Oreochromis niloticus: one gene and its partner. The protein of the gene in region 2 interacts with the protein of the main gene of each other region in a biochemical or structural test. Links are inferred from orthologs where the notes say so. Each region holds a gene or a part of one and is shown on either strand. Other genes may lie near its edges.

Region 1 (11,522 bases), on a different chromosome or scaffold from region 2:
TTCTTTGTAAAGTGTAAAGCTGCATCAGAGCATAATAAATACGGGAACACAATAGCAATGCACAATTGCGAATACAAATGACACAGAAATGTAAAAACCATCTGTCCACTGGATAAACTGACTATGACACTGAAATAGTGGACAAAAAAAATTGTCTTAATAACACAAACAACGATAAACCCTTTTCTGGTTTAAGCTTTATCTTTCTCATGACATGTTGCACTGGAATAAAAAGAGAGTTGTCAGGGATTTCCTGTCAGCGGACTCTATGAATATCAAGACTTTATTACCAGGGGATTATGCGGATTATTTCCTGTAGCCAATTTGGCAGGTTTTCTAACAACCTGGTGTATGTTTACCTTGGCCCACATGGGATTCAGCTGATGCCGAAATGCAGGGAGCATAATGCAATAAATGACACACTGCATTAGAGGAAAATACGGAAGGGGTAATTCAAATCAGCATAAAACGGAGTCATTTTATCATTATTTGAATTTGCTTCCTTTAGTAGTGGCACCTTGTTTGTGGATGGAGCTAAAAATGTGTATAAAAATGTGGGATGGTGGATTACCATCAGCTCTTACACAGCCTGAATCATCATGCTTTTTTTCTTACAAGTGCAAATGCTTCATGTGTAACTATAACAATCAGATGTCTGAAAGAGCAGGAGGAGCTTTTTTTGCACATGCACATGTACCTGATATACAGAAAGTCGTTGCTGCGGTGAACAATTCAAAGTTTGTCTTCGGTATCATTCATCTCTTAGGCTCAAGCTGCAGCTTAAACTCGTCAAAAAATATAATGAAAACAATAGCTCACAAGATAAAAGGATAAGTCATGCAACTTTTTATTAAAATGTATTGATAAGGTCAAGCTGCAACACATGATAAATGGTGGTTGCAAAAAAAACCTACAACTTGTAACATGCCATGATTTTAATCACATTTGAAGCTGTTTTACATCAACTTTGATTAAGGGGGTTCTGGATGCTTACGTCATTATTTTTTTTCTAGTATTCCAAACAGCACCCTGATCTGCGGGAAAAATAAAATAAAATAAAATAAATAAATAAAGACTTTGAAAAGGGGGCGTAGTGTGAAAATGTTCTGCGTGGTGTGAATTCACACAAACACTACTACTCACATCAGCAGTAAAACATGTGTAAGGTTCTGCACAGCAGCTGAATTTTCAATAACAGCTACCATGTGAAAGGAGATAAAAAATAAAACCCTCGGAGGTATTTATTGGAAGATTGAAATAATCACCTTTAAAACAAACAAACAAAAAAGCAATCACATGTATCATTTTTAATGTAAGAAGTTGAAAGAATGAAGAGCAGAGAAATGCCCCCACATGATTTGAAAAGATATATGGGGAAATTGTCCCCAAAGTTTAACTGGTGGTGTCCCAATGCCAGTCAGCTATGTGACTTGCTAACATTTCAGATTCTGTTAGACTTCATTAACAAAACCGCCAGTCAAATCTATTTTTTAAACGATTCACTGTGAAAAATGCAACATAAAGCTACTAAGATAAAAAGTGACTGAAATCTAACTGAATATTTATTTAGGAAACATTTTCCATTATTTAGTTAAACTGGAATAAATGCATAACTGTGTCACATTTTAAACAAAAGCAGCAAGAGACAGATTAAACTACTCTTTAGTTTGCTCATATTTCTTAAAGTTGATTTAAAAAAATAAAAAATAGATAAGCTATGAATTAATACATTAAGATCAGCAGTGATGCTAGAGGCAGGGACTGATCTTACCTTGAATCTGGGTACTTGGTGAGAGTTGCCAGGCTGCTAGTGTACATGTGTCCCCCGACATCAATGTGCACCGGGGCGTTCGCCTTGGTCAGCTGAGCCGGCAGAGGGATCCCCTGAGCGGCCAGAGGAGAGACCGGGGACCGGGTCAGAGACAGCCTTGACATGCTTCTTCCCTCCTGAAAGCAAGTATAGAGAAAAGCCATGGGAATAAAGGTAAAGAAGAAATAAAAAAAATCAGCAGAGTGCTCCTAAACAGGGAAGTAGATAGTATCCTTTCTGAATGGTATCAGATCACTTCCATGTCTGTCTGGTCGCATATTTAGCCTGGAAATTATTGCCACCGCTCTAATTAAGTATGTTTGCATCTTTTCATGCAGCACCGCAGGCGAGGATAGGAGGATGCTTATTAGAATCGGGGTGAGAGAGAGAGAGAGAGAGAGAGAGAGAGAGAGAGAGAGAGAGACAGAAGGAGATAGACAGATAGAAAAAGAGAGGGGGAGAGGGAGACAGGGTGAGGGGGGAGAGAGAGGAATGCTAGGTGTCAGCCTCCAGGGGAATAAAATAAACTGCTGCTGCAATATTCTAATTAAAGGTCGCCTTATGTGTTAGACGTGATGCGCCCAGACACACCAACCACCAATCTAAGAGTAAGGAAAGCTCGACGGGGAGGGAGCTTTCAACTTTTCTTCTAACACGCACACGCATCCATTCAGTACACAAAAAGATTAAGAGTGTCATGTGTCCGCAGATAGTTTGAGGCACACGGGCCTCATGTACTGCACAAAAACGCACCAGATTTCAGTCGAAACCAGGAGAAGTATCATGTTACTTGCAGGCCAAACTATTGTGTATCTTATTCCGTACTTGGTGTAGCTCAGTGTCGTTGATTAACCATTAAAATAATCTTACAAGTAAAGTACATGGCACTAGAGCCTACTGTATACAGACTGTGGGTGCACATATTTGGGACTGGGGCTTACTGGGAGCACGCCGGAGCACTCCGAGATCAGTGCAGAGCTGAATTAGATTATCTGATGAAATGTTTGACAAAATATTTTCAATTCGATACGCCGTCATTTGATTCCGCACTGCTTCAGGAGGAGCGGAGGAGGCGTTTATATCCAACCTACCTACTGGTGCGTAATTTGTTTGCCAACAGCGGCAGGTGAACCACAAAACCTCAGTATGGCCACATTTCAGTGTTACTATTATCTGTTACGAAGCATATTGTACATCACAGTGGCTGAGTTTATTATTTTTTTTTTAAAGGAAAAGTAAACAAAGATATACTGTTCTTAGTTCATTTTCTTTAATAATCACAAAATAAAGGTCACCGTTTCTCCACTTTATCACCACTAGTCCGTGCCTACAGGCTCTGGTTGAAATACAGACCTTCCATTTGAGGAAAAATCTAAAACAATAATAGGAGCTTCATAGTACACATGTGTGTGTTTAAACAGACTGATATAATAAAATCCCAGCTTTCACTAAATTATGTGAACTGATCAGTTTTCTGTTGCACATATGGGCTGTTGCACTGTCATTACTGATAGACGGGAGACCTTTTGCCAAAGTCCAGATCATCCCCGCGGCTCTGAGAGAAATGCCAGTGGGCACACTATGAGACAGGAGACTTTTTTATATATAGACCTCCTCACAGCAGTATCGTATTCGTTTAATGCGATTACAAGAAAACGGGATTACATTTCAAAACCCAGGAACAGAGAAAAAACTTATAGAGACTTAAGAAGTTTAGGGCACATACACAAAGACACACACGGACACCCATCGGTCTGTCCCATCGCGGGTATCTTCCTCGTTCCTACTTATCCACCATTTAAGCAATAAATTCCCTACACTGATATACAATGAAGAACAAATGTGGAAAATAAATATAGAAATCTTCTTACTATCCCGATCACATTCTCATTGATTTCTGTTGTTCCCAACTCCCTTGTTCCCTATCACATACACACAAACAGTGAGTGACACACGTAGACACACAACACATAAATTCCTTCACAAAATCACAGCAGCTACAGAGACTCAACTTTCCTGCTTTGAATTGCTTTCTTGCTGCTTCCCTTCGCTGACCCCTGCTCAGACATACTGCTGTCGAGCTCACACTTAATGACAGCGACATAAACCTGACGACTGATCTTTAAAACAACCACGAAAAAGGACACAGAAATCTCTGAAAAAGAAACGGTGCGATACAACACTCCCTCCGCAGGAACACCACAAGCCCGTGCTCTGCCTTTAATCTACCAAATGCTCAACATGGCGTCTTATTGCTGCTGTACAATTAAAAGCATAATCCCGACACGTGTAATACACGACCCGATTGATAAAACACACACGTGTTAACTATAGGGTACAGTCTGGCAGAAAAGACAGAAAATACACTTTGGTCGAGCAGTAGCCCTATGCAGGACTCTCCAGCACAGTTCAACTGTCCTTCCCGAAAACTGTACAGCCTAAGCCTACACTGTGCGTAAAAAACATTGGATTCTGTAATATTAAATTGTCACCCTACCGTTTCAAACATTGTAGGGAGTCCGGAGGAAATCCGTGCCGGCGGTCAGTCCCAGCTGCTGTCCGCGTAACCCCCAAAAATTTTCAAATATTTTCTCCAAATGCCCCCGAGTTTGTCACCGAACTACACCGCCGTCCAGTTCCAATACCTATACTGCCGCACGGAAAAGCCAAGTATTTTTTCTGTATCCCACACAAAACTGCTTTTAAAAGACGCTAGGTTGTGGCCAGGATCGACTGCAAAGAGTCTCTGTGGCTTTAAAGGCTCAATTGCAAGGCTGGCTCGACCTGTCCTCACCAAGCTTCTTTGTACCAAAGCGCACAGGAAGCGTCCTTACCTTGAACATAGATGAGATGATCTCCTTCCCCTTCTCTGCTCTTATTTGGATACGCGTAAAATGTGCGCTCTTATTGGAATCCTGCTTCGTATTTCGGCTTCTTGTCTGCCTTTTTGCCTAAATGAAACTGCCCCTGTGGTTTGTTATGAGAAGAAGAAAGCCAATAATCCTTCTCTAAATAACAGAGCGGAGCTAAAAAAGAAAAATCTTGCTCCGGGCTGCCCAAGCGCCTCTGGGCCAGGGATTAGGCTACAATTAGCTCAACTACACTCTCTCACCCAGGCAATTTTCTCAAGGAAGAAAACGTGATACCCTCTATTCCCGAAATTATGACTACATAGATATAATAACTTATCTTATTTTTTCCGGCAAAAAGTAGACCGATCCCCTTAACGGTGTGAAGTTGTGATTTCGAGGGGGTAGGAAACCTAACAGGCAACTGTCTGTCGCTCAATAGATTTAGAGCAGCAAAAAGCAGATTTTAATCATTGTCATTTCGTCTGATGTAATAGTTCCCCAGGCTGTCCAGCTAGTAGGATTACATTTCCATCTCCATCTCCAAGCTAAATTTAAAGTTTAAAGCGGGCGGGCTGCCATAGTCCTTTACTCAGGCAACATATAATAAAGACGCAATAACTTGTTGATAAAGTCTCAGCAGGAAAAAATATGTTGAAAATGAAGCGATATCCTTGAACCAATATCTTTCATGCCGTGATTTTTCCCCCGTGTTCCCGCTCTCTATTCCTCTCCCTCTCTCTCTTGCCTTAATGTCTGGAGTTGTAACGCCAAATTTCCTGCAGGCCATTAAAATCAAATGACGTCTATGGACATGCATGCATGCTGCTGCAGAAAGCGCCCTCACAACCTGCCTGCAGCCAAATGCGCCATTTCAATTATAGCGCAGGGCTTAGATGGAGATATCTGCCCAGAACACCCCCCTCTCTACTCAACAATGAAAGGAGGCAGCCTCCAGACTTTTGGAAAATAAGATTGTGCCTGATTATTGTTATTTTTCAACAGAGAAAGACACAATGCAAGTGATGAAGCGCTAAAGTGTTGCGCCACTTCAGCACAAAGTAAAAGGGGGAAGAAGGAGTCAAGCAGGTGCTCACGCCAAGGAAACTATTATTTATTTATTTGCATGTTTGTTTATTTGCGGGTAAATAACTGTGAATAATTGATGCAACATCGAGCCCAGTAATTACTCTGTACCAGAATCGTGAGAGGGGTGTAATATTCGTTTCTTGATATTTGGCGCCAACCAGTGTAGGAACTTATTATTGGTCCACAGGAAATACATCAATTCACTCACTATTTTGGAGCCTCGTTTATCCCGAATAGTATTAACATTCTTTTTAAGCACATAGATTTCCAAAGCAATATCACTATGATACTCTAACATTTTCTTATCTTATATATATATATATATATATATATATATATATATATATATATATATATATATATATATGTGTGTGTGTGTGTGTGTGTGTGTGTGTGTGTGTGTATAACAAAGCGAGAGAGAGAGAGACAGAGACAGATTTATAGAAAATCGGCATAAAATAACGGATATTTAAATATAAAATTAAAAAGTGCTGGTGATATTTGACAGCAAGCTGATGGATGTGTGAGAATGCGCCTCTCCTTGAAGCAAGTGAAGTCTTTATAATTAGAGAGACCTCAGCGTGCCTCAAGCGCTCCCTTCTTCCCCTCTGGCACAGATTTGTTGCTTCCAGAGGTACAGACTGGAGGGAAAGCGGGATTTTTTTTCTCATTAAAGGAAACAAGCCCGGAGTTAGTTCAATTACATGAAGTATGCAGGGATGTTGTAAATTTAAAGATTTAAATAGCTTACAAAGTGGCCCCGGGCCCCATCAGTTAATTTCCTTAATTTATGGATTTTATCGGTGTCTATGTGGAAGGGAAGAAGTAGGTCATCTTGAGGATTTGCATGCAGCTTTGAGATTTCCCAAATCTAAACATCTGTCCTCCTGACCAGCACCTCAGCAAGTGAGAAGACAGACAGGTTTCCATTTCTATTTTGCTAACCGTCCAAAAAACTGTCCCTACGATTAATTTTTTTTTCTTCGTTTCCAGGGTTAAAAAATGTAGATCTGATTGTACTATTTGACCCAGGTAACGGGATTATAGATGTTTGGTCTCCCTGATGCAGGCACAGAGAGAGATAACAGCTCTGTTCTAGTTTTCTTTAAAGGATTATTCCACATAATTTCTCCATTATTTTAAATGTTTACTTATGTAAAACTACAAAATGAACATAGATTTTTGCTCAAATCTGAGTCAAGATGTTTATGCTGCAACGTGAAGCGTTCAACTGCATACATCAGTCAAAATTTCAAAGTCTCCTTCAGACATATGTTAATGAAGTATATGAATTAATGCATGACCCCGAGAAGAATAACTTTGCCTCTAGGTTCAAATGCAAGGTGCTATTAGTTATGTTGCCTAAAGTGGCACAGAGGACAATGCTGTGCCTTTCTCCAGCTTTATCACAAGAGGATTATATATGATTTTTAAAGCTTTTTCTACTATATATTAATCACAGCATCAACAGTGTATTGTATGCTTTATGCCTCTGAGGGATAAATTGTACTATTTTTTTTATTAAAAACAATTTATTCCACCTTCTTTTTTGTGGTACAGACACATGCTTACCTTTTTTTTTTAACATTTATTTTTTGCTGCAAGCAGGTCAGATATCTGACACCAATGAATGAGCGCATGCTGGTATTTTTTTTTTTTAATCTGGAGGATATACTTATTACTCAAATGAAAGATGGAACATGGCACCATCTGCTGGTTAGGTGTAACACTGTGAACAAAAAACCCTTTTCAATGAATACTCTGCTGCATACTGATGAGCTTAACTATTATTAAATCCTTTATTTAAACATGCTGTCTCATTGAGATCAAGACATCGTTTTCAACAGAAACCTGTGTATAAAAAACATATTCAATTATGACATCAACTTTTTTCTTTTAATCCAGCCTCCCCCCCAAAAACATAGGGTTGGATTTGATACTAGCATTGGGGTCAGAGGATCTCAGAGGATTAAAAAAAGCATGTACAAGGGATCTTACTGTGGGATTTGCAAATTTTGGTATTGATCTAAAATCAAGCAAATACAGGGTCAGTATTGCCGATTCTGATACTTTTAAGCTATAAAGGCAGCTTATCAAGGGGAGAGCCACGTGTCATGATTCATAAGATGAATCATCAATTTGCAAATTCAGAACACGCTTGAATGACCACTAATTCAAATTGATTTTTTACTTTCCCCAATACTTATTTAACACAGAACACAACTTTCACCTTTTATGGATTTTAAAGCTGGGTTTTTTGGATACCTGGAATGTAAATGTGCCCGTCACTAAATCACTTTGGATCATCTTCTGTTGTTCAAATGTGCTATAAGCTACAAATCAAACAGATGTGACTGGAACACATCTATTTGATTTATAGCTCCTATTTGACATATAACTTTGATTTAAAGTTCAGACATTTTTCATAGTGCATGTTTGAGGTAAAAACAAATAAATAAACAGAATTCAGCGGGCAATAAACAAATAAAGTATCTATCCTAACTTGTCAGTATCAATTCAATACCAATGCCAGTGTTGGTATTAATACTTTCAATATCTGGGTCTATCCAGCCACCTCTAGTTTTTGCATAAACATAAATTTTACCTTTGAAAAATGTTCAAATAAAGCCAGAGAATGAAGCTTCATAGTCTTCTGTAGCTCAATCCATTTGTAGGTAGCAAAGTAATGAAAAAATTCCTTGAAGACGTTTCACCTCTCATCCAAGAAGTTTCTACAGAAGCTCCTCGGATGAGAGGTGAAACATCTTCAAGGAAACTTACAGAAGTCCAGAGGCTTTTCTTTCCAAGCTCCTTAGACTACGATGACCTGGATGACTGAGAACCATCACAGACGTAATGAAAAATAGTTTTTCCAGGTTCACTGTGAATAACAGGTAATGTTAGCACATTCTGTGACCTGAAATTGCATGTAACCGAGCAATTCCACAGTAGAGCTTTGTAAATAAACACCACACACTGCCACTTTTTTCTGTTTCCTAAGGTTGACCATCCTACTTCTTCATAGAAGAGTAAGAAAGGCCTACATCAATTTATCATTGGTAAATTACAATGCACTGTGATGCAAGAATCAAGATGCTTCAAGGTGGATGAAGAAACATCAATATAAACAATATCACCATAAGAAATATAAATATCATTTTCTTGATTGGTGTTTCAAAAGGGCTAATGAACTGTTCACTGATACATTTCGATGATCGCATGCGCTTCAAGGGAAGAGCCAGTGGCATAACACAGTGCCGTCTGCATAAAAATGTACATTATAATTTTTGGACCAGGTGTAATATTGTTTCTATATATGGTGGAATCTGACAGTCAGTAATCATCAATAATAATTAATCAGTAAAGTTGGTATTAATGAACAAGGGTGATGGGTAATGATAAAACACACATTTACCAGTCATTTTGAAGCCATATGCTGTACTACTTATTATTTCATTAAATGTTTAAAATAGGCTTTTATATTATAGTCTTTCCATTTGGTTTATTTTTTAATATTTATTCTCTCTTTTTTTATTCTTACTTTTCAATTAAAGCCTTTAGGGCATTTGGCCAACATGTCCTTTTTTTGATCCACATAACCCAGGTCACCCACACAACTGTACTACATGTGCACAAAGGTGAAAACAGTAGGCACAATACAGTCACATCCGCCCTTCTAAATGTGAGCATTTGCAAGAATCTCTTTCAAGCATTCCACTTCTACTTGCCCCTCTGGCGTGTGGAGAAAGTTTGAAAAGAACGCTCAGAACTTGCTTTTAGTAATCTGCATGCCTTGTGGAGCCCGGTTGCTGTCAATCGCTCCGTTCTTACAGCCATTTGACATTCTGCTTGATGTTGGTGTGTGTCTGAGGTGCAGCAGCGACACTTATTGTTCATTATTTCAGCGAGAGAGAGAGAGAGAGAGAGAGAGAGAGAGAGAGAGAGAGAGAGGGAGAGAGAGAGAGAGGGAGGGAGAGAAGGTAAAAAGGTGTCAGTTTATTAATAGAACGTATGGAGTTGTGTTGCTCACAAACACCTAACAAGCACAGCTCAGAATTCCCTCAAGTGCTTAATGCCAGCAATTAAGTTTCAGAAAAAGCTGAGCACAAGGAGAGTGTGTACACTCTGTGTACTTCTGAGAGTTGCTGTTATGAGACAGTTCCACTTTTACAGGTAAAACTGCAATGACTCTGATGCTGTCAAGTTCAGTCTTTGTTTATTCAGAATCTTAATGTGATTGGTTGAGACATTTACTAAATATTAGCCAATTGGAAGCCTGCAGAATACCCCAAACATGCTAGACTCTGAACCTTGAAAAAGGCAGTGTTCTTTGATGCCATCATGGTACTTAATATTACTTCACTAAAAAATGGAAAATCTTACATATTCTACCCCCTTTTTTGACATCTTTAGCAACTGGATACTTTTAAAATAAAAATATTTCAGAAAAAAGGCAATTTCCCATATAGACCAATAAATCGATTATAAAAATACAGTATTGTGATAATTTCATATATTATATTACCTGTATTTTTATTTTTATTTTTTTTTCTTTGTGCAAAGAAAATATCCTCCTCTCATTCTGGCGTGTTATAGATCAGATAAATTAAAAAAGAAATCTGACATTTTAATGAAGCAGAAAATGTATTTTCCACATTTTAAGAATTGTCTAAAATCTCAAAATCTGCTGCCATCATGTGGTCTAAAGCTCTAAATATTTACAAACTGATGAAAAAGTACCTGTGAAGGAGGTCATCAGGTAATAGAGGCATTCGTGAGTACAGGATGAAATTAGAACATGAGAATGTTTATGAAACTTTGCCAAAATGCCAAGAAATTAGACATTTTCTCTGTTTTGTCAGAGGAGAAGAGGTGATAATGTAACTTTGTTTTATGTCATCTCTTGTATCCGTCACCAAATTTTCATTTCTATGTGCAGTCCTCTCTGAAGTTCTTTGGGAAAAAACAAAATCCTCTGAAATGTGTTATTCTGCTTCTGGCTCAAACCAGTCTTACAAGCATCCAGCCTCATGCCTTGAATGTGTAAACAGAGGAAAAATGATCTTTTGCTTTTGTTGCTGCTACTATTTGGTTAGCAGTAACAACGTGAACAGTGTGATGTCTCCAATCACATCTGGTATGCATCACATAGCATTCCCCCTGCTCAATGTGCCTTGGGGGAAGTCCCTGGCATTGCAGAGCACCCACAGTCCTCATTAGAGTGCATGTGTCATGATGGCATCAACCCACAGCCTTGACTTATGTTTTATATTTACAATCATCCATCACAGCACTGTCATCACAACAGTCAGAAAACATGGATTGAGTCTTGAATGGTTTGAGCTGATCCAGCTCATGTTTGTAAGTCTTGGTACGTACAACATCCTCGAGGGCCTTTTTCTGTCTGTAGCTATGTTGTTGAGACTAGTAATGGCCTGAGACTGAAGCTTGAGTCCCTGTCCTTTTGTTGTGCGCTGAGCTCCCTAACAGCACAGTGGAGGGACAGGGTTTGATGTGTCTTCTGAAGGCCTGCTGCTTTGTCAACACTGAGGCCTGTGCACTGACACTATGGAAGCTAAGTGCCGCAGGGTGACAGGGAGGGGAGTGGTGGGGTTGGGGTGGAAGGGAAGGGTGGGTCACTGCAGCCTGGTAAAAGAGAGACAGACAGAGGAGGAGAGAGAAGAGAGGCAATGGGGGAAGGGTGCATAGTGCGGCCAGCGCCCAAGGCTAGAGGAGAGTGCTCTGTGCAGCAGACTGCCTGATAGGGACTGAGG
Region 2 (11,961 bases):
GGACTGTGCGCCTTTGGATAGATCACTTGTGACATTAATGGCTCAAGGGAGCCTAATAGAGACAATAGGAGTTAAACGAACTCTTGAGATTACTAATATAAGAAGCCAATTATCATGTTGATGTGCAGATAGACAGACTAAAAAAGAAAGAATGTTTAAAAAGATAAAAAAGAAAGAAAGAAGTAAAAACCGAAAAAAGGAAGGGAAGAAATGGGGAAGCAAAATCACTCCGTATCTTATCCAGCGAGTTCTAATTTGACCTGACAAAACGTTTTTAAAACATGGCCACGAAAAGAATGGGACTTCCTCGTGTTGTATCAAGTAATACAATTCACTGAATTTTAACAGCAAATAAACACGACGGACTGAAGCAGCAGCAACAGCACAATCCAACAACCTTCACCAAAGTAGCCTAAATATATATTTAAACAATTACATTTCACGATATTAAAAATCCAGCCAAGTGATTTTTTTCCCCAAGCCTAGTTTTTGATTCCCCTCACTGAATGACAGACTATCATCCTACACACAGCAGGCCTGTGCTCCATCCAGCGGTACCAACTCCCATTTTAGATTTGACCACGCTACGTGATTGCAGCTATTGGCTTCCTGAAGTGCCAGGATCGTCTATGAGGCCTGTATCTTTGACCATCAATAGCACGCGGGCCTACAAAGCCCACCAGCTCTACTCATCTCCCCGCTGCGCTGAAACGCTGACAGTAAATTCCATCAGCGAGGGGGGAAAAAAAGGTGCAGCCAGTTTGACGCACTTGGAAACCATGTAATGAAAAATAGGCTACTGCGTATTAGGATCAGTCAGGCATTACCGCATTGCATCGAGCTCTCTCGAGCAGAATAGTGAATGGCGTTTGTGCGTGTGCGTGTATGCGAGTGTGTGTGTGTTGCTTAGTGGTGTGCAGCTTGAAGAAACATGCATGGTACTGTATCTCGGAGGAAATTGCTTACCTTTTTTAATTACAGTCTGGTCGGGGATGTGAATTCCTTGATCCTCAACAGGCTATGACACAAATGCAAAAAAAAAGGTATACGTTTAAGTACAAAGGCAGGAAAGAGAAGGAAAAATCTAATAATGTCAACCTCGGTCCTGCGTACGTAAACGCACCTCAGGATGCGGTGCAGGAACAAAGCCTGACACAATTAGCAGCCACAATCACCCAACATGGAGGCTCCCGAGGCCCCATACCTGTTATTATTGTCCATGTGTGTTTTCGACCGGTTACACTGATTAGATGACAAACGCAGACTTAAATAACGAAGCTGTGTCGCCCCATAATCCTGACCTAATTTCGCCCTCAGATTGGCTGTACTCACAAGGAAACTTCTAATCTAGATTGGATAGTAATTATGGCGGCGCTGCCTATTAAAGGCCTATGAACTAATTAGCGAATTATTGGTGTTTGTTTCTGATTTTTTTGTAATGTTCTCAATATGAATGGAGTTTATTGACAATTTTAAAAGCTCGTCCATCACAGATCTTCAATAAAACGTCTGCCTGAGCTCCGTGCAGCAAAGTAAAATTCTCTCGTTATCGGGAAGCAGTATACTCTCGTGTTATTGTTCTCAAATAAGCGTCGGCTTCATTTATTTTATTTTTTTAAAACAGCGAAATTAAATTAAAATCAAACGACAAAAAAAAAATTACTCGTGAAAATAGAGATATCAGTTATTTTCATCTATTTCATGCCTTTTTAGTTTCAGATGTCGAACAAAAGCCATGTGTCAACGAACAGCATTATAAATGTTTTCTTTTAAATATATTTCATGACAGAAATAAATTGCAAATCAGTGCTGCTTTGTCTTAAACCGCATTGAAGATACTGGGAAAAAAAAATCCATGCATTTATTATTTAGTATATTTGCTATTTTAAGAGCTACAATGAGCTCCCCGAACCTAATTTACTGCGTGTCAGTCGTGTTTTGTATCAGCTAATATTAATAAGATAAACATGATACAGTTACAGCACTTCTATGACTAGTACCTGATTTCTTAAAGGCGGGGTGACAGAACAATTTTCATTATTTATTTAAATAAAACACACACACACAAACTCTCACTGATAATAGCGGGTTGGCACCCGTGGTGCTCGAACTCTTAATGACAGCATTATTCCTTTTCTTTCTTTCATTTTTTTTCTTTCTATTTTCATTTCTTAAAGGGAGTAATTCCACAGAAAGAGAAAGCCAGGTAAACGCTGCCTCACCTGCACGTCTTCTAAAGATTGGTGTATTCCATGGATAGGGATAGAGTCCGACAGTCCCGTTTCGATGCCGTGGCCGGATGGCAGGAGCACTTCCCTGCGATACTCCCGGCACAACTGGTGGGGCAGGCCGCGGTGCTGATGCAGCAGGCCGCTCTCCTGACCCTGCCTCTGGCCCGGCCAGCCCGGGTGCTGTGGCTGCGGTTGGGCGTGCAGGGAGTTGAGGGAGTATGGGTCGTTGACGTGCGAGTAAGGGTCCTGAGACTGCGGGTAGATGGGCTGGTAGGGTGGAGGAAAGTACGGGGGCTGGAAGTCCGAGTTCGGTGTGTGGGAGAGCGGAGGGGCGCTCGTGTAGGGACTCTGGCCCACGCTGCCCAGCTGAGGTAGCCTGGCTGTCCCATTGCTGGTGCCGTCGTGACGATCCTGACAGGTAAGGAAAGAAGGAAAAGTGCGTTTTAGCCTGAATACGTTCAAAATAAAAATCAAAATAAAGGACACGGTCATAAATTAGCGAAACGTCCGTCTATATTTTTACATGTGAATGCTCTGCGGGCATTATCAAATATGCCCCTGAGTGGATGACACGAATTAGCTCAAGTGTGGAATCTGTGTTGAATTATTCCAGTTAATTGGGGAAAGGGATTTTTTTTAAACAACAAAAAAACAATAACACCTACAACACATCCGCAAAGTTTTGGGAATCCAAAATAACCTGACAGTACATGAGCAAAATAAATAATTTAAAAAAAATCCAGAGAATGAAACGGCATTAAATAGGAAAGTCCTGACATTTTTTTTTTTATTTTTATTTGCAGGATGCTCAGCTGATTTTTTAAGCATGCACGCTTTGCAAAAAACTTGAAGTAAAAAAAAAAAAGAAAAGAAAAAAATCTGGTAGGCAAAGAAGCAAAGAAAGAAAGTATCTGATAGTGGGAGACTCCAGCAACTTACCATCGCGGAAAAACTGTGCACTAACATCTGTAAGGATTTTTGGTGGGGACTCAATAATAATAAAAAATTATTAATATAATAATCAGTTCACAAAAACACGGAGTCTTTAGGGGGGGGGGGCGGGGGCGGGGGAGAAGAGCAAAAGGAATAAACCAGCAAAACCCAAAAAGGAAAAAAGAAAAAAAAAGAACAAGGCCCCCGAAAAGACTCTTCTCTCCTGCAAAGATCACGATGGCCCCGGCGATCAGATATGTGCCTCGGTAGCAGGACGATAATCCATCAGAAATAAATGGTTAGATCCCAGCTGCCCTTCATTTGCTTCTAACAATGCAGATATTCGGCGGTGCTGGCCGATCGAGGTTGAAAAGTTTCTCTTGGTAAACCCTCTTTTCCCCCCTGTTCTCCGGGCTTCTATCACAGTGCTACCGTCCCTTCGCTCGAGCTCATATTAGCCCAAAAAAAAGAGCCGCTTCTTCGTCTCCCTCTCGGACTCCTACCAGAACGCATTCATTACAATTAATATCACAGGAATACTTAATAACAAGGAAAGAATAGACGGAAATCTGGCGTGAAGCGGAGGACGCAACTCAAGGCAGGAGTCTGCGCTTAAATGACGTCCATTGAAAGGAGGAATCAGTATATCTAATCAGAGATGGGGAGAGAGAGAGAGAGAGAGAGGGGGAGTGAGAGAGAAAGAGGGAGTGAGAGAGTGTGCGGAGAGAGGCACACACAAAAAGAGGGACATTCACCTCGTCTGACGAATCAGAGAGAGAGGGAGGAGGAGGAGGGGGGCATTTTAAAAGAGTCCCAGGCCAAAGCGCAAAAGTGAAAGAAAGACAGGAATGGGAAGGGAGGTGGACCACAGGCAGGAATGAAGAAGCCAGCGAAGGAAACAATGTGCACCTCTGAACTGGGTGAAAATCCAGCAGACGACGCTATGGGCATTCCAGCCGGCTCATTTCTACCGTTTGTCCCTTTGTTTTCCACCTCAGACTCCGACAGCGAGCTGTCCTCCATGGTTCTCTCTCACTCTCTCTCTCTCTCTGCCTCTCCTGTCTCCGCCGAATTAATCCACCGATCCGTCCTCGACTCCAAAAAACCCAGAGTCACGCCGGCTTTAACTTTAACGTTGACCCGGAAAGATGGAACAAAATAAAATTCCCACAGTGTGAGACAGGGCCGCTGGATCCTGCGCTCTGTAACTTTTGCGCGCGGCTTGAAATAGCTCCACTCCCCTTCCTGCCTAATCATGCACTTTAAAATTACGAAACATCACTTACTGGGGCCTCGGCTGGATCGCGACTGCAAATGTTATTTATCTGTTTATGTATTTCTTTTTTTGCCTCGATACCAGCGGATGAAACAAACCGTTTGCCTGTAAATTAAAAGAATCCATTTAACACGACCGCGGAGGTGCCACTTTCTTTCTTTCTGTTTTTTTTTTTTTTGCTTTCTTGCTCCCGTCCTTCTCTATTCTCACAGGACGCGGGCGAAAACACGTCCGACTGGCTTCTCCACTCCTTAAACAAGCCACCGGTATTACTGCCAAACTTCGTCTGTGTCCACAACAACAACAACAATCACTCAGTGTATGCACTTCACACATACACGCACACGCAGAATTTAACAGCTTCTGCAGTGATAGAAAAACCTGAAGAGTCCAAGAGCTTGTAACTGAAGCGCAAAATGAACCAGGCAGTGCCAGCACTCACACTGCTTTAAAATATTATTTTTTAATTTAATGCATGGTAAGTGTATATTATTGCTTTAATGTTTTCACGTGCAATAGAATTTTTAGTCATATTTATTTTATTTTTAATGTAAGTTTTAAAGTGGAAAATGCTGTGATTTTTATGCAGCCAGGCGATATTAAAAACAGCTTCCTATTATCATTATTATTATTATTATTATTATTATTATTATTATTATTATTATTATTGTTATTATTATTACATTAATTAACAAAAGCCATAATATGCAGTCTATTCATCTTGCAGTTAAATATGTTCTCTAACAGCTGTCAAAAGAATCTCATAGCTGGATCAAAACAATTTTAAAAAGCAGCCATGAAATAATTATTGAATGTTTAAAAATAATAATAATATAACAACAACAAATTTAGTAAATTAAAAACGAGCCTCTTACCTCGCAGTCTTCATATTTAATGTTATCAGTTAATTTCCAGAGCATTTTCATGGGTTGTTGAGGTGGATATTGAGTATAGGTATCGCCTTAGTCTTGTTTTCACTCAGTGAATTGTGCTCCCCGCTCAGAAAAACTACTTTTATTGAAGCTGTGGGTTGGTTGTCTGTCTTGCGCTCTGAGGTCTCCCTCTAATGGTGGAAGTGAAGGGCTGGATCAGCTCTGTAATAACACTGGCACCGGGCCTCATTAGCATATCAACAGCCGTTTGATTCCCCCCATCTGCTCACACAACACCAATGGACAGCATTACAGGTAAAGACTAAAAAAGCAACAAGACGCTACACACGGTTATTATTTCTACTGTTCAATGAGGTGTGTGTGTGTGTGTGTTTTTTTTATTGAGAGGAAGGGAGGGTACGGTCATGCATGGGGACCTGCTCGCACCTGGGACACTTTCTACAATCATTTTGATTTCATATTTGGGAGGATGGAAAAGTGCACATCCTAAAGAATCCCCCAGAAATTGTATATTTTTAACAAATTGTCAAATATATTTTTCTGTGACTTTTTTTTTGTCTAAACTGAACTTACTTCTATCCACCTCTTGATGACTTTAAATTTGATGTAAAGACAGCATGACTATGCTACCACCCCGTCACACACACCGTGGGGCCAACCTTGATTTTTTTTTTTCTACAAAAAAAAAAATAAAAAAATCCCAAAGTGTTATTTTAATCCTATTGAGAGCGGAGACCTCGAGAGGCTATTCTTTCAGTGTGATGTTAAAAAGGGTGAGTTATTCAAAGCTGCTCTACAGGTCCACTGGCTACCTGTAAGGTTGGCAGGGCTTGTGAGGGAGTCGAGGAGGGAGGGGGGGTTGGTGTCAATAATTAACACAACAACATGGCCTTGTTTCATTTGAATGAGCGGCTGGGGGAGCCTGGCTCTGTCCTGTCGCCGGTCGAGCCTTCACCTCACCAGGTCGTGGGTCAGCAGACAGGTCCACGGCGCTTTAAGGCGTTGTCCCCCTTTTAAAAGCCTGTTTGGTATTTTTGGTGGGACAGAGACAACCCCCCCTCCCTTCTTTTTTTTTTTTTGTAACAAACAGTTGTTATTAATGAACGTGGAGCGGCTGTCAACGACAGCAATGCATCCGTGCGTGCTGCAAAAGAGACCTGGCCTGCTCGCCTGAAACGGGAGTGTTTCTCTTCCACCAAAGATCTCAGGTCGTCTCTTAAATCCCCAACGCATCCACAAGCCGAGGCCATACTTCTGAGTCAAGCCCAGATCATTTTTTAAAAATTAGACTCTACAGAAAGTCCACTGTGAGATGCTCACGCCATGCACAATTGGAACAGCTGCAAAGCACATGAAAAGTTTATCATTGTTATTCTTTGTTTTTGTTTTTTCTGCTTTAAAGCCTAACTACACGGTTCGAGCACGGGCTGTGTTTTGTAATCGCCCCACCTCTAACAAAGCACCTCAAGTCTGTTTCCATACACGTCTAACTTATGATGAAACAAATGTGGATATCACAGTGTGTCTGAAACGCGCACGATGTCCTTGCAACAAACGATCCATACCTTCAGACATTCAGAACTAAAAAACAACAACAACAACAACAACAAAAAAAATATGGTTAATTCCACACTTCAGGCTATACCTCCCCGCAAAAGACTCCAAAATATCTCCTGTGTGATCAAATCCAGGAGCCTCTACAGAACTCTGCCGCCTCTCTTTACTACAGGATTTCATAGCGTCCATGCAGCCTCATCCAACAAGTCGATACTTTGACTGTTTTTATGTATTTTTCCCCCTTTTTGCAGCCGTTTTCTTTCTCTTAAGGTAAACAACACATACCTGCCATTCCATCATTTTGCCCATAATTGACATTCTTTATCCTCTGCTTCCTTTTGTTTGTTTTGGTCCGATCCGACGGCGCGTCTATTTCATTAAGCCTTCGTTCGCAAAAGTAAACCTTTACCTGGGCCGGAATCGCTTCACCTGGCCATAAAAACGGTGCGGAGCCACCTGGCGACGCATGCGCACTGCTACGGGTGTGGACCAGAGAGTGGCGAGCACCTGGGAAGAAAAAAAGAAACAGCTTGTCTGTGTCTGTGTGTTGAATAGGTCTGAGCTGTCATACTTAATTAGTTTTTTAAACAACAGCGTTCACAAGTGACGAGCTGAAAGTATGGATATTATTTAGGCTATTTAACGTGATTGATGCAGACACAACACACCCCAACAAATACATACATCTGTAATAATATTTTTTTTAAGATCAGTTTAAAGGAAAATGTCCATTTCATGTTTTGACAAAAAAAAAGAGGATTTTATATGATTTTTCATCAAATATTAATTTGGTTTATTGTGCGCATAAACAGTGTGATAATCTAAGATGTGCTTTTTAAAATAATAATAATAATAATAGTAATAAAGGTTCCATATGAGAAAATACGGGAAACTGCGTGGGACAAAGCGAATATAAATATATATAATTATAAAGGTTATATTTGTCTTCACCTGGCATAAAACTAAAAAGGACATATCTGTTAACCTTTCCGTTCCTTTTCTTCTCTGATTTGTCTTGCTTAGTAGAAAACATGAATTGTCAGTGCAAATGAAACTGTGTCAAGTTAAAAAACTTGAAGGTTAACTGCCAACATCATTACACAGAAAGCTACCATACTATTGTGAGAGTCATTATTTATTTATCCACTGTTTATTTCTAATACATACTTATGTAGACCCCTCGGGCCAAGAGCGAATGAGCAACCCCCCACAACCCCCCAACCGCCTCCTCCCTCCCTCCCCCTCCCCCTGGTACACACGCACACATGAGAGACGCGCACACACGCACACAGAAAGCAGAGCAACACGTGCGCTGACGTGGGTGACAATGGCCAAATCTTTTGTCCGTAACCCCTTCTCCTCTTTGAAGTAATACGCTTCACACACACACGTAGGCAAACTGGCTGCTATGGACGTAGTCGCGGGGGCACTTCGCTGGCAGATAGCAGCATTGACCTACCTTTCACTATATCACACACATAAAGACAGCGTGTTATATGCGTGAAGTGTAACACTGGTGCTTGTGGACAAACTTTTAACGGGGGGAAGAAAAAATACAATTAATTTTGCTTTAACCCGATTTTTGTTTTTTGGTATTTTTCTAAATTGCAAAATTCCACACGGAGACTATAGATTTTTGTGGCGTTAATATTTTAAACGAGCCTTCATGTTTGACTTCAAAGGCGAACACATTTTAACTGCACACACAATACCTGCAGCTATATAGACCTTACCAGGCCTGGACAAAGGAGAGGAAGGTGGGGAGGGGGAATCAGAAATATTGTTTGGGGCTCTGCGCAAGGGAGGAGTGAAGTTTTAAAGCAGAGCTGTCTGAGAGTAGGTTACTCTTGTTCTGCAGCGGGGTCCCTTTTGAATATCTAGCCGGTCTAGGGCTTAGTTTCAACCAGCAGCACACAGCACCGGGCCTCCGGCAATGTTCCCCAACCGCCAGCTGTGTTTAAAAGGCGATAGCCACGACTGCGCCTCAGGCATCTTGTACATTTTATTATTATCATTATTATTATTATTATTAGTTTTAGTAATAGTAGTAGTAGTAGCAGTAGTCGTATTGCTATAATCATTATTGTTATTATCAAGTGTACCTAAAGACAGACAGATCTTGGTGCGTATTTTACGCGTCCTTCTCTCATTGCTAGAAATGGCAGAAAGACTTCCTCCTTCTTCTTCGTCTTCTTCTTCTTTAAAAAAGGCTGATCAAAGACAGGAGCACTTTTTCGTATCCCCCAAACGTTATGAAGTTATGAAGTTGGTAAATCATTTCGTAGAAATGCTGAGTTTGCAACAAATATTATTTTCCCACGGCCACGCTCTAGCTCCTGCTGGATGTGTCCTACTGGCGAAGATCTCCAAAGCCACACGCACCTTGGTTATATTCATAAAAATTCGTGATTTATTTATCTATTTATATTTTTCAATTGAGACGGTTTCAGGCCCAACGTTAGAAACGCTGCTCTCTGAACAAGATAACTTGTGTTATAGCGCCACCTTGCTTTTGGATAAGAGCGAGGAAGCGCCGCTAGTGGATTGAAGTCAATATCGCAGGTAATTGAAACCAAATGAGAATGTGTGAGCAGGGAGCATTCCAGTAAGTAAATCTGCAGAGCCGATGCCAGTCGGAAACACAGGTGCTTTAAAGGAAAGTCTACATGAAATTGCACGACCCGTCAGGAATACAAACGTTTGCAAATATTACAAATGCATTTCTAACAAGCAATACGCTGGGCGCTTGTGTTCACCTGCCTTTCTTCATTAACCTTAATCAGTCTGTCACGCTTAAACTTGATCGTTTTAGTCACCCATCAGAAGAAGAAAAAGTAATAACGATAATAAAAACATTCCGATGTCGTAAGTGGTGATATTGCAATCTGTATGTTTATCCTTTCCCTTTGAAGACAGCCTTTTTTTCGGATGCATGCAAATCAAAGTACATGCCTATTTGAAAAAAAGCTATTGGTATGAGGGGTGCGGTTTGAACTTGAAACACAACCTAATATAATCCTGTGGCGCCATCTAGCGGCCGTCAATTATCAAAAAACAGCTCCGAGTGGCGTTGGGGTTACTCAATTGAGCGCATTAGTGGTTGACAATGACATCATACGACGACGTTAAGTAAGCAGGACTCGGTTTATTATGGAGAGTACAGGACAATAAATCGTCAGTAGTGATTCCGCAGAGAAAATAGTTTAATACCTTTTAAGTGTCCTCGGTCGTGTTTGTTTGCACCAACATAAACGATAAAAAACACATTAGTATTATTATTATTATTATCGTTATTATCATTATTATTATTATTATTTAGCGCAGCCGTATGTCTTTCACAACATAAAGAGATCTGCTCAGAACTGTAAGCCTACGCATTCGGCATCCGCGAGCGCATTACGTACAGTGCAGCAATAAATTGTGCTCGGTGGAGAACAAGCTGCCGTCGGTAGGGACCACACTGTTTATGTCAGTGACAGACAGAGGACAAACTGAACGACTAAGGTTGTAAGTCGGTTTGTTTTTTTTAATTCAGCTTCCATACTCGACAGTGTCAATGTTTTAGAGTGCTGCTTAAGACTGAATCTACTTTCAAAGTTTACGGGGTGACTGTTAACAGTGGTTTCGATAATGTTGTGTAACTTCTGAGTGTGTGGTGCAGCAGTGATGCTAGTTTATGCTAAGGCTCAGTAAAGCAGTCTGGCTTATCTACTAAGCCAGACACACACACGCCCCTTTTTTCTTTAACGACTTCTGATCAAAAGCTGACAAACTACGGCTGCGGTGTGTGACAGCGGGAACCTTCCTACAATGTTTTCACTTTTTCTGTTCGTTCCGTTAATGCTCAGTAACAGCTCTGTGTTGCAGGACTCGCACAGCTCCTTAAGTATTTTTACACCAGTAGGTCAAATTAGATTCACATCAGGAGGAGGTTTTAATTGAATAATCGATGTGCAACGTCAATAATGTGTTTGTTGACTCGCATAACCTCACGCTGTGATCCTGACAGGTGTCCAACATGACTGTGGATTGGGTAGGATATGGATACGCCACGCTTGTAGCATCTGGAGGAGTCATTGGTTACGTGAAAGCAGGTATGTGTTACCTAAAATACTTAAGTTAAATAATCACATTTCAATAACAGCAAGTATTACTATTGGTGCTGTTGTCTCGCTGGTTTATATTTTCCTAGGTTCTGACCTCCTGTATGTTTGTTCTGTCAGGCAGTGTTCCCTCCCTGGCTGCTGGGCTTCTGTTTGGGGGCCTTGCAGGTTTTGGAGCTTACCAGGTCTCAAATGATCCTAAAAATGTTTGGGTGTCACTAGGTTAGTAAACTTTTTTTTTTTTCTTTCCTCTTTCCTCAGCTTAGGAAAAACATCATGTCAGAAAAAGCTGTAAAGTTTGAACACTGCTGTGCCATTCAAGCCGCAGTCTTGACTGTTAATTGAATAACTCTATTATGCCTTATGACCAAAAAAAAACATACACTCAAAATGTTTAGTATGTGGACCCACATACTAAACTGCATAAAGCAGCTGTATGTTTTCCATGTAAGTAAACAGTTTCTGAATATCTAATGTCTTCATTCTGAGTGCCTTCACTAACCTTTTCCGTCTCCTGCTGTCTGCCAGCTGCATCAGGAGCACTGACTGGTATCATGGGGAAGCGGTTTTATGGATCGAGGAAGTTCATGCCAGCTGGTCTGATGGCTGTAGCAAGGTCTGGTATAAGTCCAATCAGCCATTACTTGTTATCAGTTCCACAGATGAGGGCAGTATTATTCCAAATATCTTAGTTTGATTTTGGAATATTATTTTACTTACTTTGCACACAGTAAAATATTTCTTAGTCCGAAACCAGGGTTCTATCGATTGTCCTCTTCAAGACTATAATTTCAGACTTGTCTGAGTCATTCACTCGTGTCTCAGCAGTTGTTCTGGGGGTCTTTAGATACAGTTTGCTAGTTTTCTTCCCAGAGTTTTTGAAATCGTTCGCTTCCTACCTCTGCCAGGCTTGTTCTGCATTGTGTGGCTCTTTCTTGATGAGATTTCTCATGCCAGTTCTTCACATT

The links.
Region 1: the proteins of tfap2a (region 2) and kctd15b form a complex in vitro, tested with the Homo sapiens proteins (2 studies listed by BioGRID, with this or other methods). The link is inferred for Oreochromis niloticus from reciprocal best matches to the Homo sapiens genes TFAP2A and KCTD15.

Annotation. Positions count from the first base shown.
Region 1 is NC_031965.2:31,957,106-31,968,627, forward strand, and holds the start of kctd15b (BTB/POZ domain-containing protein kctd15), read right to left. Parts: upstream 4,636-11,522; 5' UTR 4,320-4,635; coding exon 4,308-4,319; intron 1,948-4,307; coding exon 1,772-1,947; intron 1-1,771. UniProt on the Homo sapiens protein: During embryonic development, it is involved in neural crest formation. Inhibits AP2 transcriptional activity by interaction with its activation domain.
Region 2 is NC_031974.2:23,415,808-23,427,768, reverse strand, and holds the start of tfap2a (transcription factor AP-2-alpha), read right to left. Parts: upstream 4,618-11,961; 5' UTR 4,188-4,617; coding exon 4,074-4,187; intron 4,066-4,073; exon of another isoform or gene 3,198-4,065; coding exon of another isoform or gene 3,171-3,197; intron 2,643-3,170; coding exon 2,223-2,642; intron 1,019-2,222; coding exon 967-1,018; intron 1-966. Other genes in the region: tmem14ca (transmembrane protein 14C), read left to right, coding at 10,701-10,790, 10,900-10,984, 11,114-11,215, 11,522-11,609.